Nothobranchius furzeri: one gene and its partner. The protein of the gene in region 1 interacts with the protein of each later gene in a biochemical or structural test. Links are inferred from orthologs where the notes say so. Each region holds a gene or a part of one and is shown on either strand. Other genes may lie near its edges.

Region 1 (6,804 bases):
AATTATATGCCTCTGTGAAGCCTAATGACTCCTTACTGCCCCTTGTTGAATGCTGTAATGATGTGAAGAGCTGGCTGTCAGAAAACTTTCTTTTGCTGAACGACGCTAAGACAGAGGCCATCATTTTCAGCCCTGGTACTTCTCAAAGTCCCCAACTGACCCTTCCATTTATCACAAGTGGGTTGAAAAACCGTGTCACAAACTTAGGGGTTGTGATGAACGCTAAACTAAAAATGGACATTCATGTCAACCAGGTAGTTAAGATCTGTTATTACCACCTGAGGCGTCTCTCTAAAGTTAAGCCCATTTTAAAAAGGCGTCATCTTCATTCAGTTGTCCATGCATTTATTACTTCCCGTCTCGACTACTCTAACTCAGTGCTATACGGTATCTCCTCCTCCACTCTCGCTCAACTTCAGCTTGTGCAGAACGCAGCAGCTCGTTTCTTGACTGGCACCAGGCAGCGGGAACACATCACACCGGTTTTAGCAAATCTTCATTGGCTCCCCATCCATCTCCGGATAGAGTTTAAGATCCTGGTTTTTGTGTTTAAATCCCTAAATAACTTAGCACCTGGCTACTTGTCTGAGCTCATTCACCCATATGTCCCTACAAGATCTCTCCGATCAGCTGACCAACACCTCCTACATGTCCCTAGCTCTCGCTGTAAGTCCCGCGGGGAGCGCGCCTTTTCAGTTTGTGCACCGAAGCTCTGGAACCACTTGCCCCTCCCGATCAGACTCTCTTCCTCTCTTTCCCTTTTTAAGTCTCGTTTAAAAACTCACTTTTATTCTCTGGCTTTTAATTCTGTCTAACTTATTCCCTTTCTACCTTTCCTTTTAGGGTTGGATTACTTGATTTTAATGGATTTAGTTTTTATTTTTGATTGTTTTTATTGTGTGTTTTGTTCAGCACTTTGGTCGGCTCTCATGCCGTGTTTAAATGTGCTATATAAATAAAATTGGTATGGTATGGTATGGTAAATAATCCGATGATTAAATGGTAAATAGCCTGTATCTGTATAGTGCCTTAGGGTTCTACAACCCCCCAAGGCGCTTCACAACACAGTCATTCACCCATTCATACGCTGGTGGTGATGAACTACATCGTAGCTAAAGCTGCCCTGGGGCGCACTGACAGAGGCGAGGCTGCTGAACACAGGCGCCACCGGTCCCTCCGACCACCTCCAGCAAGGCGAGTTAAGTGTGTTGCCCAAGGACACAATGACAGAATTCTCTGGTCTGAGCCGGGATTGAACCTGCAACCTTCCGATTACTGGACAACCCACTCTACCTCCTGAGCTGCTGCTGTCCCTTACATCCAAGCACAAACCCACAGAGGACACAGCTAAAGTTCAGAGTCAAAATGGCCGAACGTCCATTAACATGAGGCCTTTCCTAGAGCTAGCTTGTAGCTCTGGTGCTCAATAATTATTCATAATTTCAAGCATTTAATTACAGTCAAAGAGTTATAAAATAACTCACCCCCTCAGAGTTGTCATAAATGTTAGAAAGATCAGTCAAACCTAGAATGGCTTTTTGAACCAGGCTGTAAATGTGTTTATTTATGCTGTGAAACTGGCTTTTTTAACATGGGAGTCAAAGGGAACTTGCTCTGTTTTGGTACTAGCCCCTAGCGGATGAGGGTGGAACTGTAATTTTTGGTACTTCCATGCTGGAGCAAAGCCAGCGGCCTTGATCCCTTGGTACCGACGCACACTCAGAAGCATAAGCTCGGCTTAAATAGCGCCAGATACATGGCTATAACCAAGCAGCTGGCGGTCTCTGTTTTAGTTCAGATAGTCCTCGTGGGCATGAATGTTCCGTCTAAGAGAAGAGCAAAACACTTTGCTTCCCTTCTCAGTTATCCAGCATCAATTAACAGAGGCTGCCTGTGAGGTTCACTTGAATTAAAGAGAACTGAATCCACCTGAGCATAGTCGGTGGAACCGACAGATCCTTGAGTGCACAGATGCACTTTGTTAGGCAGGCATTTATCAGGAAGGCATCGATGTTCTAAACTCGCTTTGTGGACTACCCCCCAGGTTCGTGCGTGTGCAGCTTACAGGGATCTTGTTTGGGTGCTGCTCTCGGATCTGCTGGACCTCTTTGCATCGATCAGCTGTCGACAAAACAAATAGACAGCATGATGAGATTAGGAAGTTTACAGCAACAAGAGAAGATGTGTTTTGGATTGGTGGCCATATTGCAGCCATTTTGGATGGTAGGCTTTCGACTCCGTGTGTCACTGCAGATGGCTGCTTATGCTGATCCAGGATCCTCTGGAGGTTTCTTCCTGTGAAGTCTCTGACACAAGTCAGTGACTCGATGCAACCTGCTGGGTTACTTATATAGGAAACTTTTTACTGATTGCATTAATGAACTGAACTATTGGAATGTTTACTTTGAGAAGCGCCTTAAGAGGACTTGTCGGGATTTGGCGCTTTATAAATAAACGGAATTATAGATAGGGTGAGAAGCTCAGTCATCCGGGAGGAGCTCGGACTAGACCCGCCTCTCCTCCACATCGAGAGGAGCCGGTTGAAGTGGCCCGGGCTTCTAGTTGGGGTGCCTCCTGGACGCCTCCCTGGTGAGGTTATCCAGGCACATCCAACTGGGAGAAGACCTAAAGGAAGACCCAGGACACACTGAGGGGACTATGTTTCTCAGCTGGCCAGGGAACGCCTTGGGATTCCCCGGAGAAGCTGGCCCAAGTGGCTGGGGAGAGGGAAGTCTGGGCTCCCTGCTTAGGCTGCTGCCCCCCATGACCAGATTCCAGATAAACGGAAGAGGATGGATGAAACTCATTTCTAAATGAAACCATCATAACCACGTTCTGGACCTTAGCATGGGTGTCAAACTCTGGTCCTCAAGGCCCACTATCCCACATGTTTTAGTGTTTTCCCAGTTTCAACACACCTGATTTCAAGCTTGGGCCTCCCTGCTTAGACTACTGCCTCGCGACCTGATCCCGCGATATATTTGCATCAACCAAAATAATCGTGGTTATCATTTTCGCCATTGGCCGGATGGGTCTCTTCCTGATGACATCATCCTGTGGTTCCAGTCAGAGATGTTAGGGTGTTCCAGGTGAAACTCCAGTTTTAGAGCTTTCTATCAACCCGTTCCAGGTGTTCATCTACATAGTTCTCACCTTGCTTTGATATTCATGTTTCTGACACTGACAGCTGGTCCGTTCAGGTGAGCGGGTCACTGCCAGACTCCTCCCCTCCTGTCAGGTGACCGATTTAATCAGAGAATACGTGTAGGGGTCATGTTTCAGCACAACTTGTTGTTTTGGCCTCGCGGTGGGTCACGGAGCTGATCCGGTTGTGTAAAGGCTGCGGCGTCACATTGACCCCGTTTACCGTGAAGCTACAGACCGACCATCAACACATGTAAACACGTTAAATCCGGTGTGAACCTACGCATTGAAACGCACTAACGCTAGCTGTAGACAGCACCGTCTTACCGAACGTTCTCCGCTGCTTGAACGGTCGGTCCGACGGCATCCCGGCAGCGGCTTCAGGCGAAAGAAGGTGATGAAAACGGCCCTGGGAGGGTTTCAGATGGCTCGGTCTGAAGCTCCGCAGCAGCTCCGTACAAACAAAGCCAGTAATCTGACGCGCTGACGTCATCCGCTGCCTTATGGAGGTGAGTGAGGCAAGCCAAGTTGTCATTTAATATTCAGAAAAGTTATTCAGTTCCTGTCAGTAAAATTGAGGCCGTCTCTGGATCAGATCTCTGATTTTTATCTGATTTGGTGCTAAATACTGATAAGGTCATGGTAGTGGGGGATTTTAACATTCATGTGGACATTGAAAATGATAGCCTCAGTGTAGCCTTTAGTAATATACTGGTTTTACCCAAAGAATGCATAGCTCCACCCACTCCTGGCATCATACATTAAACCTTGTGCTGATTTATGGCATAGAGTGTGAGGAAAATAACGATATTTCCACATAATCCAGTCCTCTCGGACCACTTTTTGATCACCTTTGAGTTTTTTTATAACTGAGTTCTAGAGACATGAAAGTAAATTTCACTATAGTCTGTCTTTATCTGACAAGGCTGTTGCATCTTTTAAATCAATTATTCCATCTTTACTGTCCTCAGCATCTCAGAGGACTGTAGCAGAGGGCAATATTTTCATTTCTAGCCCCTCACAAATTGATGATTTAGTTCATAATGTTACTTCTTTACGTGTGGCATTAGATGATGTTGCCCCTTTAAAAAAGGTAATTAAGCACAGGAAGTTGGCTCCCTGGTTTAATTCTGATTTACAAACTTTAAAACAAAACTCTAGAAAATTGGAAAGAACATGGCGCTCTACAATTCAATTCAAGTTTATTTATAAAGCATCAAATCAGGACCAGAGTCGTCTCAAGGACCTTCACACAGTAAACATTCCAATACAGGTCAGGTCATTAAGCCAATCAGTAAAAAGTTTCCTATTTAAGGAACCCAGCAGGTTGCATCGAGTCACCTCATACTAAGAATGCAGCGACAGTGCAGAGAAAAACTCCCTTTTAACAGGAATTTTGTGTTTCTTAGTAAACATTCTATTTGGTGAGATAAACTTTATTGTATTTATCCTAGTGAATCTATAATTAATCTGGTAAACTAGGAGTAGCACATTCAATGTCAAAGAGAGTAAAATGTTATTGTCAGGAGAGGGAGAAGTGGTTAGCAGCAGTGTGCTAGCCAATGGCCCCCTCCATGAGGCCACTACAGCTCAGCAGAACATCATTGTAGCTTCTTCTGGGGAGGAAAACACTTAAGAGTAAAAATAAAGTTAACAGCTGAAATAGCAGGAAATAATGCAGTTAAAGAGCAGATTGTAGAAGAAAGTAGTAGAGTGTGGAAAGTGGTCAGTATGTCCTCCAGCATTCTAAGCCTATAGCAGCATATCTACAGAGATAACTCTGGATAACCTAGCCTAGTCTTAAAAGTAGAGACGGTGTCTGCCTCACGGACTAAAGCTGGGAGCTGGTTCCACAAGAGAGGAGCCTGATAGCTAAAATATCTGCCTCCCATCCTATTTTTAGATATTCTGGGAACCACCAGTAAACCTGCACTCTGAGAGCAAAGTACTCGGTTAGGAACGTATGGAACAATCAGATCACTAATGTATGATGGAGCTTTATTATTAAGAGCTTTATGTGTGAGAAGGAGGATCTTAAAGGCTATTCTGAATTTAACAGATAGCCAATGTAGGAAAGCTAGGACAGGAGAGATATGATCTCTCTTTTTAATTCTCATCAGAACTCTAGCTGCAGCATTTTGGACAAGCTGAAGATTTTTAACTACATTCTGTGGACTTCCCGAGAGTTATGAATTACAGTAATCCAGTCTTGATGTAATAAATGCATGAACTAGTTTTTCAGTATCACTACTGGAAAGGATGCTTCTAATCTTAGCAATATTCCGAAGGTGGAAAACGGAAATCCTACAAACCTGTTTAACGTGGGATTTGAATGACATGTCCTGGTCGAAGATAACACCAAGGTACCTTACTTTGTTCTCGGAGACTATTTTAATGCCGTTCAGGTCAGGTGATTGATTAAGCAGTTTCCTTTTCTGAATTTCGGGTCCAAAGATTAGAACTTCTATCTTGTCTTGATTTAAAAGCAGAAAGTTTTGAGTCATCCAACTTTTTATGCCATCAAGACAAGCCTGTAATCTAACTAACTGATTAGGTTCATCAGGGTTAATGGATAGATATAACTGAGTAACGTCAGCATAACAGTGGAAGTTTATCACATGCTCTCTGTGTGTGTCCACAGCAGGTGACATGGTGGTGGGTGGTGTTGTCACTGGCCTGTGGTTAGCCCTGCCCCACTGGTAAACCTCGGAGGTTTTTACCAGGGCATTAAAGTCAGTCCTAAACTGATTTAGGTCATTTTTAATGGGTATTATTCCAATTTCTGTTGTAATAAATGGTTTTAACAATCTGAAGCCACAACTACTTGGGCAAAAACGAACCCAAGTGCCTTACAGTCATTTCAAACTAAGTCCTTGGGTGAAATTCCCAAGGTGGCGTTGCTGGTTTTGGATAAAACGTCAGTCGATTTTTATGCCACACATACATTTGCAGTGGTCTCTAGAAGCTTCAGATGGCAGCATCTGGAGTCTTTTCCTGATATGTGGACATCTCTCCTCTGATTGGCTAACAGCAACACAACTCTACCACTGACTCTGTTTACTATGCAATGTTGATCTCTACAAATAACACAAGCCTGGAGAGTTCTGCTGTGTGGTGGAGTTGCTAATGCTAACAGTTAGCTTCTACTAGCCGAGACGTTCTCTACTGTTTCCTGAAGCGCCTTGTGATTTTTACCTTGAGAGGCGCTATAGAAAAGATCTTTTCTTCTTCTTCTGGACACTAAACCTACAACAGCCTTCCCTGTCGTGAGCCAAAATGAATATTAAGGGCTGTGATTTCCTTGTTGTCTGAGCTTGCGTTGGTGCAGGCACAAGGCTGCGTCTTTGTTCACATGCTGCACAGCACTAGTACTGGGGTGTTACCATAAGGGGCGCACTAGACTACTGAGACCGAACAGAGAAACAGGTCTGTGGGAACAACCAAAACAAACATGGCATCAATTTAAGAGACCAGAAACTGGTTCGTTTTCAGTTCACGACAGAAAAAGCGACAGCAGCGGTAAAGAGGTTGGTTTGAAAGTCCTCTAAACCAGAGACGGGGTCACCATGGTGAGTTTGTCTCGCTCGTTTTGTCAACTCCACCTACTGGTTACTCGTATATTGCAGCATTCGGATGCGTCGCTGTAATTTCGAGGAACGC
Region 2 (6,095 bases), on another chromosome or scaffold:
GACTATGCTGTCTTTCATGAGTTGAGAACATCATCCCATAATCACTTAACTGAATTTTTCCCAAACAAAAAACATCTATTATTTTGACAAATTCGATATAATCCTAAAAAATGCTAAAGGTCTACAACTCCATGAAGGAAGGCTTTCCACCTACTGCCGTTCATGCCAGATATTCAAACCAGTCTCATGTTGAGAAATGATGGGAGTTGTCTGGGTCGTATCTTGGCTTTGTGAAAAGTGAAATGTAAATAAGTGACACCACTTGCTTTTCCGGTTTTTTTGCAAAGAGACAACAAAGGTTAAGCCTGTTTCATTACTGGGAAATAACCACCTCCTCCCCCTTCAGTCCAACTGATCTCCTCTCAGCTTTGGTCCAAACGTCCTGCTACTATCTATGAAAGATTCAGCAAAATTGTACTTTGTGTTCATCCACTTACTTTAAAGGTCATTTGTAAAAATGTGAATCTGTCTGCAGATGCAAACATTATTTTTGTTACAGCTGAACTCTCGGGAGCTTCCTGTAAGGTGCAAACTAACCTCGTCCCAGTCTTCTCCTCTAGCTCCTCCCTCCTGCTTCTGCTCATTAGTTGGCTTCATGTTTTGCATCGTACGCAAAACTTCTTTGTCCTTGTTGTCGTGCTGCAAACCGGCGTTCAGGTTCTGTTTCTCTGGTTCCAGCAGAACAACTGGCAGAAATGAGCAGAATGTAAATGCAGTGGAGCAGAACCACCACAGACCCACCGTGGATCTGTACGCTCTTCGCTAACCTGGCGTGGGTTCGTCCTCTTCCTCCATGTTTTGGCTGGGGCTTCTGTTCATAGGTGGCGCTAAACTCTCAACTCGATCGGCATTCATCTCCTCCTGTCTCACTTTTTCCTTCTCAGCGTCCTCCGAATCAGCCGTTTTCTCTGAACAGAAGCTTGGGTCGCGGGACACGCCTGCAAATAGATGGAAAATGTAAACATGGAATATTTTAGCCACAAAGGCCGAGTCATGATGGCGCCTCACTTTTCTGTTTGTGGCTGCCATGTTGGGCTCTGCGTAGCGGTCTGTGGTCGGGGGCTTCCTCCAGAGTGAGGGAGCGGATGACCGTCTCACACAGGAACTGAGCTCCGCTGATCTCCTCCTCCTTCTCGTCCTCTTGGGTCACAGACTCCAACACCTCCTGCTGCCTCAGTTTCACTCCTCAGAGAAATAAAGCAGGACACAGATTCAGTTTCCTATCAGAACAAAAACTAACACGTAAAACAGTAATTACTCTTTATTCATTCACTTAACAAATCCTCAAACCTGCCCCAACTTTAATATCCCATCACCAGCACATATCTGCAGATAAAACAGTGTGAAAGGGAGCTGATAGTGTTTTTCACTCCTATTCTAATGTCTCTGCACTGGTTGCCCATTAACTTTAGAGTTCGTTTTAGAATCCTCCCTATATTACTGAACAGTTAAAGCCTTATGCTCCAACCAGAGCCCTCAGGTCCACCCGCCAGAACCTTCTAGAACATGGGTGTCAAAATCAAATTCACACTGGGCTGAAATGAAAATCTGGGACGGAGTCGCGGGCCAAACTTAATATTTTTTGAAAAAGTGATGGCAAATTTGCACATTTTCTTTACGTATCAACATATATGCATGGTGGCACAGTTGTTAGCACTGTTGCCTCGCAGCACGAAGGTTGCAGGTTCGAAACTTGGTTGCAGCCTTTCTGCGTGGAGTTGCGTGTTCTTCCCATGCATGTGTGGGTTTCCTCTGGGTTCTCCGGTTTCCCCTACAGATCATATGCCCTATAGGTTAAAAAAATTGTACGTCGTTTTGGATAAAAGCGTCTGCCAAATAAATAAACATAAATATATGCAATTTTGAACCTTTTAATTTGGAAACAAACTTATTTTTGCATTAACACTGAATGTGGAATAACCAAATTACACACGAGCAAGTCAATTTTAAATAAAATGCATCAGTGGTATTCATTACTTGTGGTACATTTTTTAAATCTATTCAGGATTTATGTTTTCTTGTTTATTCATTTTTCTTATTTTTATTCTCCTTTTTTTCTCCTGTAATAAGTGTCATCGCTGCTGTGACATCTAGCTTTCCCCACTGAGGAACAATAAAGGGATTTTCTATTCTATTCTTCTATCTGCAGCCTTTCCACTTCCTGTTTACTGTAGGTTAAATCTTTTCTCACGGGCCAACAACAAAATAAAAATATAACTTTATCTTAAATGAAAATGCAATATGTCACCTGTTAACTTTCATGTTTTGGAGCAGAAAAAGAGCATAAAACCAACATATGTAAAGCTCAGTTTGCTCCACTGGTTTACTGTGATGCTCACCTGTTCCAGCCAGATACCTGCATCATGGGGTTGATCTGAGCTGAGGAGGAGACTCCTGTTGCTTTGTTCATCTTCATCATAATAATGACAACATTAGATGACAACAGGTGCTCACATAGGTTTGTGCTGATGAACATGGAGACTGAGCAGCTTGACCACGTTGTTGTGTGTCGGGGAGGAAAAATAAAAACGACAGCAGCCACAGAGTCATGCTGGTTTGAGCGTGTCGCTGCTCGCTGGAGTTAGATCAGCTCTGTCTGGAAGTTAGTTGGAAAACTTTCTGTTTCAGTCGTGAACACATTACTGAGCAGTTAAAATCTCCGTTTCTGGGCTTCAACGTCGGCAAGTAGCTGAGTGAACTCGGCGCTGAGTGAGAGGAGTGTTTAGTTTGTCAGAGACAGCGGAGCTGCAGACACCGGCAGCAGACGCTGGAAAAAACACAAAGGAGGGGGCGCTTCGTCTCTGTGCTAATGCCTCAAAGCATCGTGGGAGTTGTAGTATTTGCGGTAAAATCAGCCGGCGGGTCAATTTTAATATATTTTTGACATTTTTCTCGCGGGCCACATAAAAATGCTCCGCGGGCCAGATGTGGCCTTGTGTCTGACACGTGTTCTAGAAGTTCCAAAGACCAGATATAAAAGTCGAGGTGATCACTGCTTCCAGATTGTTGCACCCTGACTTTGGAATGAACTTTCTTTATCCTTACAAGGATTTACATACTGGACACTTAAAATAACAGACCCTTTTATTATAGCAGCTTTTACCTAAATCTTTTTATTTTCCTATTTTTAACTCAAATTTGAAATCATCTTTCATCTGTTTATGACATTTTATGACTTTATTTTGTCTTATGTTAATCTATTTCTGTTTTGAGATCATTTTGATTTTATGACTTTGTTTGAATCTATGTGAAGCACTTTATGATTCTCTGTCTGTGTTAAGTGCTATCTATATAAATACAATTTACTTACCTTTTGCCCGTTATATTCATTTGACCAAAACTATTTTAAATCAGTTTTTTCTCAGATGATCTTGGTAAGAAATGGGGTCAGCTCCCCTTCAAGGATCTTATTTCAACTATTCAAAGAAACACTCCTGAGTTGTGCTGCAAGACTCACCAAAAAGTTTTCTGACTCCCGTGGTCTCAGGGGGGTCTTCTTTCATTGGTGTAACAACGGACTTCTCCAACACCGGTGCATCGTGGGGAAGAGGCGATATGCAGGGAGTCAAGTCTAGAAATAAACACCAGCACGACTCGCTTTATGTGCCAACATGTGAAAATGATCTCTACAGGTGAGAATAACGTTGGAAAAGATGAAGCACAGCACCAGCTTCTCCTATTTGGCTCTTAAGAGATTTAGAGGGAAGGAGGCAGCAAACTAAATAATAATAATACCGTATTTTCCGGACTATAAGCCGCTACTTTTTCCCACGCTTTGAACCACGCGGCTTATAATGAGGTGCGGCTTTAGTCAACCAGAAAGGATGGATGCTGGAAAGTCTAATGAAGGAATGGTTGAAGGAGTGCTACGGAAAGCGCCCAGGAGGATTTTATTCACAGTAAAACGGCGCTGCTTGTTTTCCCAGCTTCACCCCGGGATGATGACAGCAACACGGAGAGCGACACTGACACCGCCACAGAAAAGGTATGTGACGAAGCTCTTCTGAGGCTGTTCAACTCCGACACTGATGAAGATGACTTCAGTGGTTTCAGTGCGCAGGAGGACGATGAATAAACTAATCAATAACTTTTCTGTTTTGTTTGCTACTGATCAGTTCAGTTACGTTCAGTTAAACTACGTTTCAATTCAGTAGATATCTGCGGCTTTTAGCCCGGTGCGGTTTATATTGAGGTGCGCTCTATTGTCCGGAAATTACGGTAGTAATAAAAATAATAATAATAATAATAAACCAGCGGCTCAGGTGAAATCTCATGCCACTAAAGTTTGAAGCATCAGGCGTGACTCACCCACAGGAGTGTTGTTGGGAACCTTTTCCAACTCTTGTACAATATTAATGTCCAGCAGTTCAAAAGACAGTAGATCCTAAGATGATAAAACAGAAAAGAGACACTTAATATTAATCTGATATTCAAACGTAAAACTAATTTTTCACAGTACTGCAATAGAAAAAGAAGTAATCCAATATTAAACTGAAAAAATTAGCAAATCTGTAGCTGGAGGAACAGTTCAAGGATCAAGAGTGTTGAAGACAAGTCTGGTTGGACAATTGATTTCAGTCTTTTCTCACATGATCAAAAATCTGAACCTGTTGGGCAAACACAACATTAAAAGTCACGTGTTCATGACTGTGGGGCTAAAAACAACAGATGGTGTTAGGACACAGAATGACGTGTTCCTGCTCATGGTGATCTGAATGCCACCATGAGCCAGGAAGAAAGTCAGAAACAACACAAACACTAGCTTTTGAGTGCAACAAAGAGGAGTAGAACATGCGGCTGCTTGTTTTGAAATAAAACTCAACTTTATCCACATTTGTGAAATTTAGAAATATAATAAAAGGCTTGTGACAACCAGTTTGGAGAGGGAAACTGCACCACTTACATGTGCTGCATAGCTAAACTGTGTGCCTCCAACTGAGGTGCACATTCTTTCTTAAACGGTGGAATAAAACAAGACTAAAATCTGATGTTAAAAGGTGTCTGGGCTCTCCGAGTGTGCACCTGTGCAGTCAGCAGGTCGACTGATGGAAAGTAGTAGTCTTCATGGGGGAGGTCTACAGTGAAGGCACAGCCACTGTCCCTGGTTCTTACCTCCTTCTCCACTGGCTTCACTTCCTCCTTCTAAAGCACAAACAGGAAGGGCGTCAGTAGCGTCACTACAAAGTCCAATCAAACATTCCCACTTACATTCTAGCATCCTCAAAATACCAAAGAGTTTCAATTACTCTTATTTTAAAGAGATTTTTAACTTCCCAGAATCTCACTGGGCAACAAATAAACACGAGGGAGTTCCCAAAACGCATCAAATCTTCACCAGGGCTCTCGACCTCCTCCTGCTTGAGTCACTGAAATGTTGATCAAGAAAAATATCCTCTTAAAAAAGTTCACTTGAACCATTTTAATTCAGCTTCTCAGTCTGAAAGTGAAACAAAGATGGGAGGGTTTGGGATGCTTCTGCAAAGCAAGTTTGACATCAAAAATAAATTAAATGTTACCAAAGTTGTTATTTGTTTGTAGTTGGGCCTCGTGGGACCTGAGCATAGAAAACCTTTTGCAGAAGTGCCATACAAACAACTGTTGTGATTCCAAATTAAAAATCTGATATGGTCTGGCAGTTTTGTGCCTCTGTTGCAGCCCAGTGAGATACCAGTGTAGGAAGCCCTGTTCTAATTCATGTTGAGATCTAAGTACAGAGACTCTTGTGCAGATACTAGAGAGATGCAGAAAACAAAATAAGAACATACACTACCTTAAATGATGTTTATTTCCTTTAGCTCTTAAATCCTAATTGCCGCATCGGTGCTGTTAATTATTCATTCAAATAGAAAGTTATCTGAGGGCTACAATTACACTTTAGCCTTTTGTGACATACATTGTGGAGAAGGAAATGTATATCACAGAAGCACAAAGCAGATTTTGCTTTTGTTTGAAAATTTCCCTAAAATTAAAATGATTAAAGACTAATTTAAAGTAGGGATGCACGATATACCAACATTATCATCAATATCGACTGATGTTAGTAAATTTTTTAAACATCAGTATCAGTCTAAGTAAAACCGACCCCATTATAACAA

The links. The genes of interacting proteins can lie anywhere in the genome.
Region 2: the proteins of microtubule-associated proteins 1A/1B light chain 3A (region 1) and nbr1a form a complex in vitro, tested with the Homo sapiens proteins (2 studies listed by BioGRID and IntAct). The link is inferred for Nothobranchius furzeri from reciprocal best matches to the Homo sapiens genes MAP1LC3A and NBR1.

The regions. Positions count from the first base shown.
Region 1 is NC_091743.1:78,249,823-78,256,626, forward strand, and holds the start of microtubule-associated proteins 1A/1B light chain 3A, read right to left. Parts: upstream 3,641-6,804; 5' UTR 3,638-3,640; coding exon 3,472-3,637; intron 2,122-3,471; coding exon 2,066-2,121; intron 1-2,065. UniProt on the Homo sapiens protein: Ubiquitin-like modifier involved in formation of autophagosomal vacuoles (autophagosomes). While LC3s are involved in elongation of the phagophore membrane, the GABARAP/GATE-16 subfamily is essential for a later stage in autophagosome maturation.
Region 2 is NC_091756.1:48,483,706-48,489,800, reverse strand, and holds part of nbr1a (NBR1 autophagy cargo receptor a), read right to left. Parts: intron 5,143-6,095; coding exon 5,023-5,142; intron 4,385-5,022; coding exon 4,309-4,384; intron 3,572-4,308; coding exon 3,458-3,571; intron 1,186-3,457; coding exon 1,009-1,185; intron 939-1,008; coding exon 768-938; intron 687-767; coding exon 538-686; intron 1-537. UniProt on the Homo sapiens protein: Ubiquitin-binding autophagy adapter that participates in different processes including host defense or intracellular homeostasis.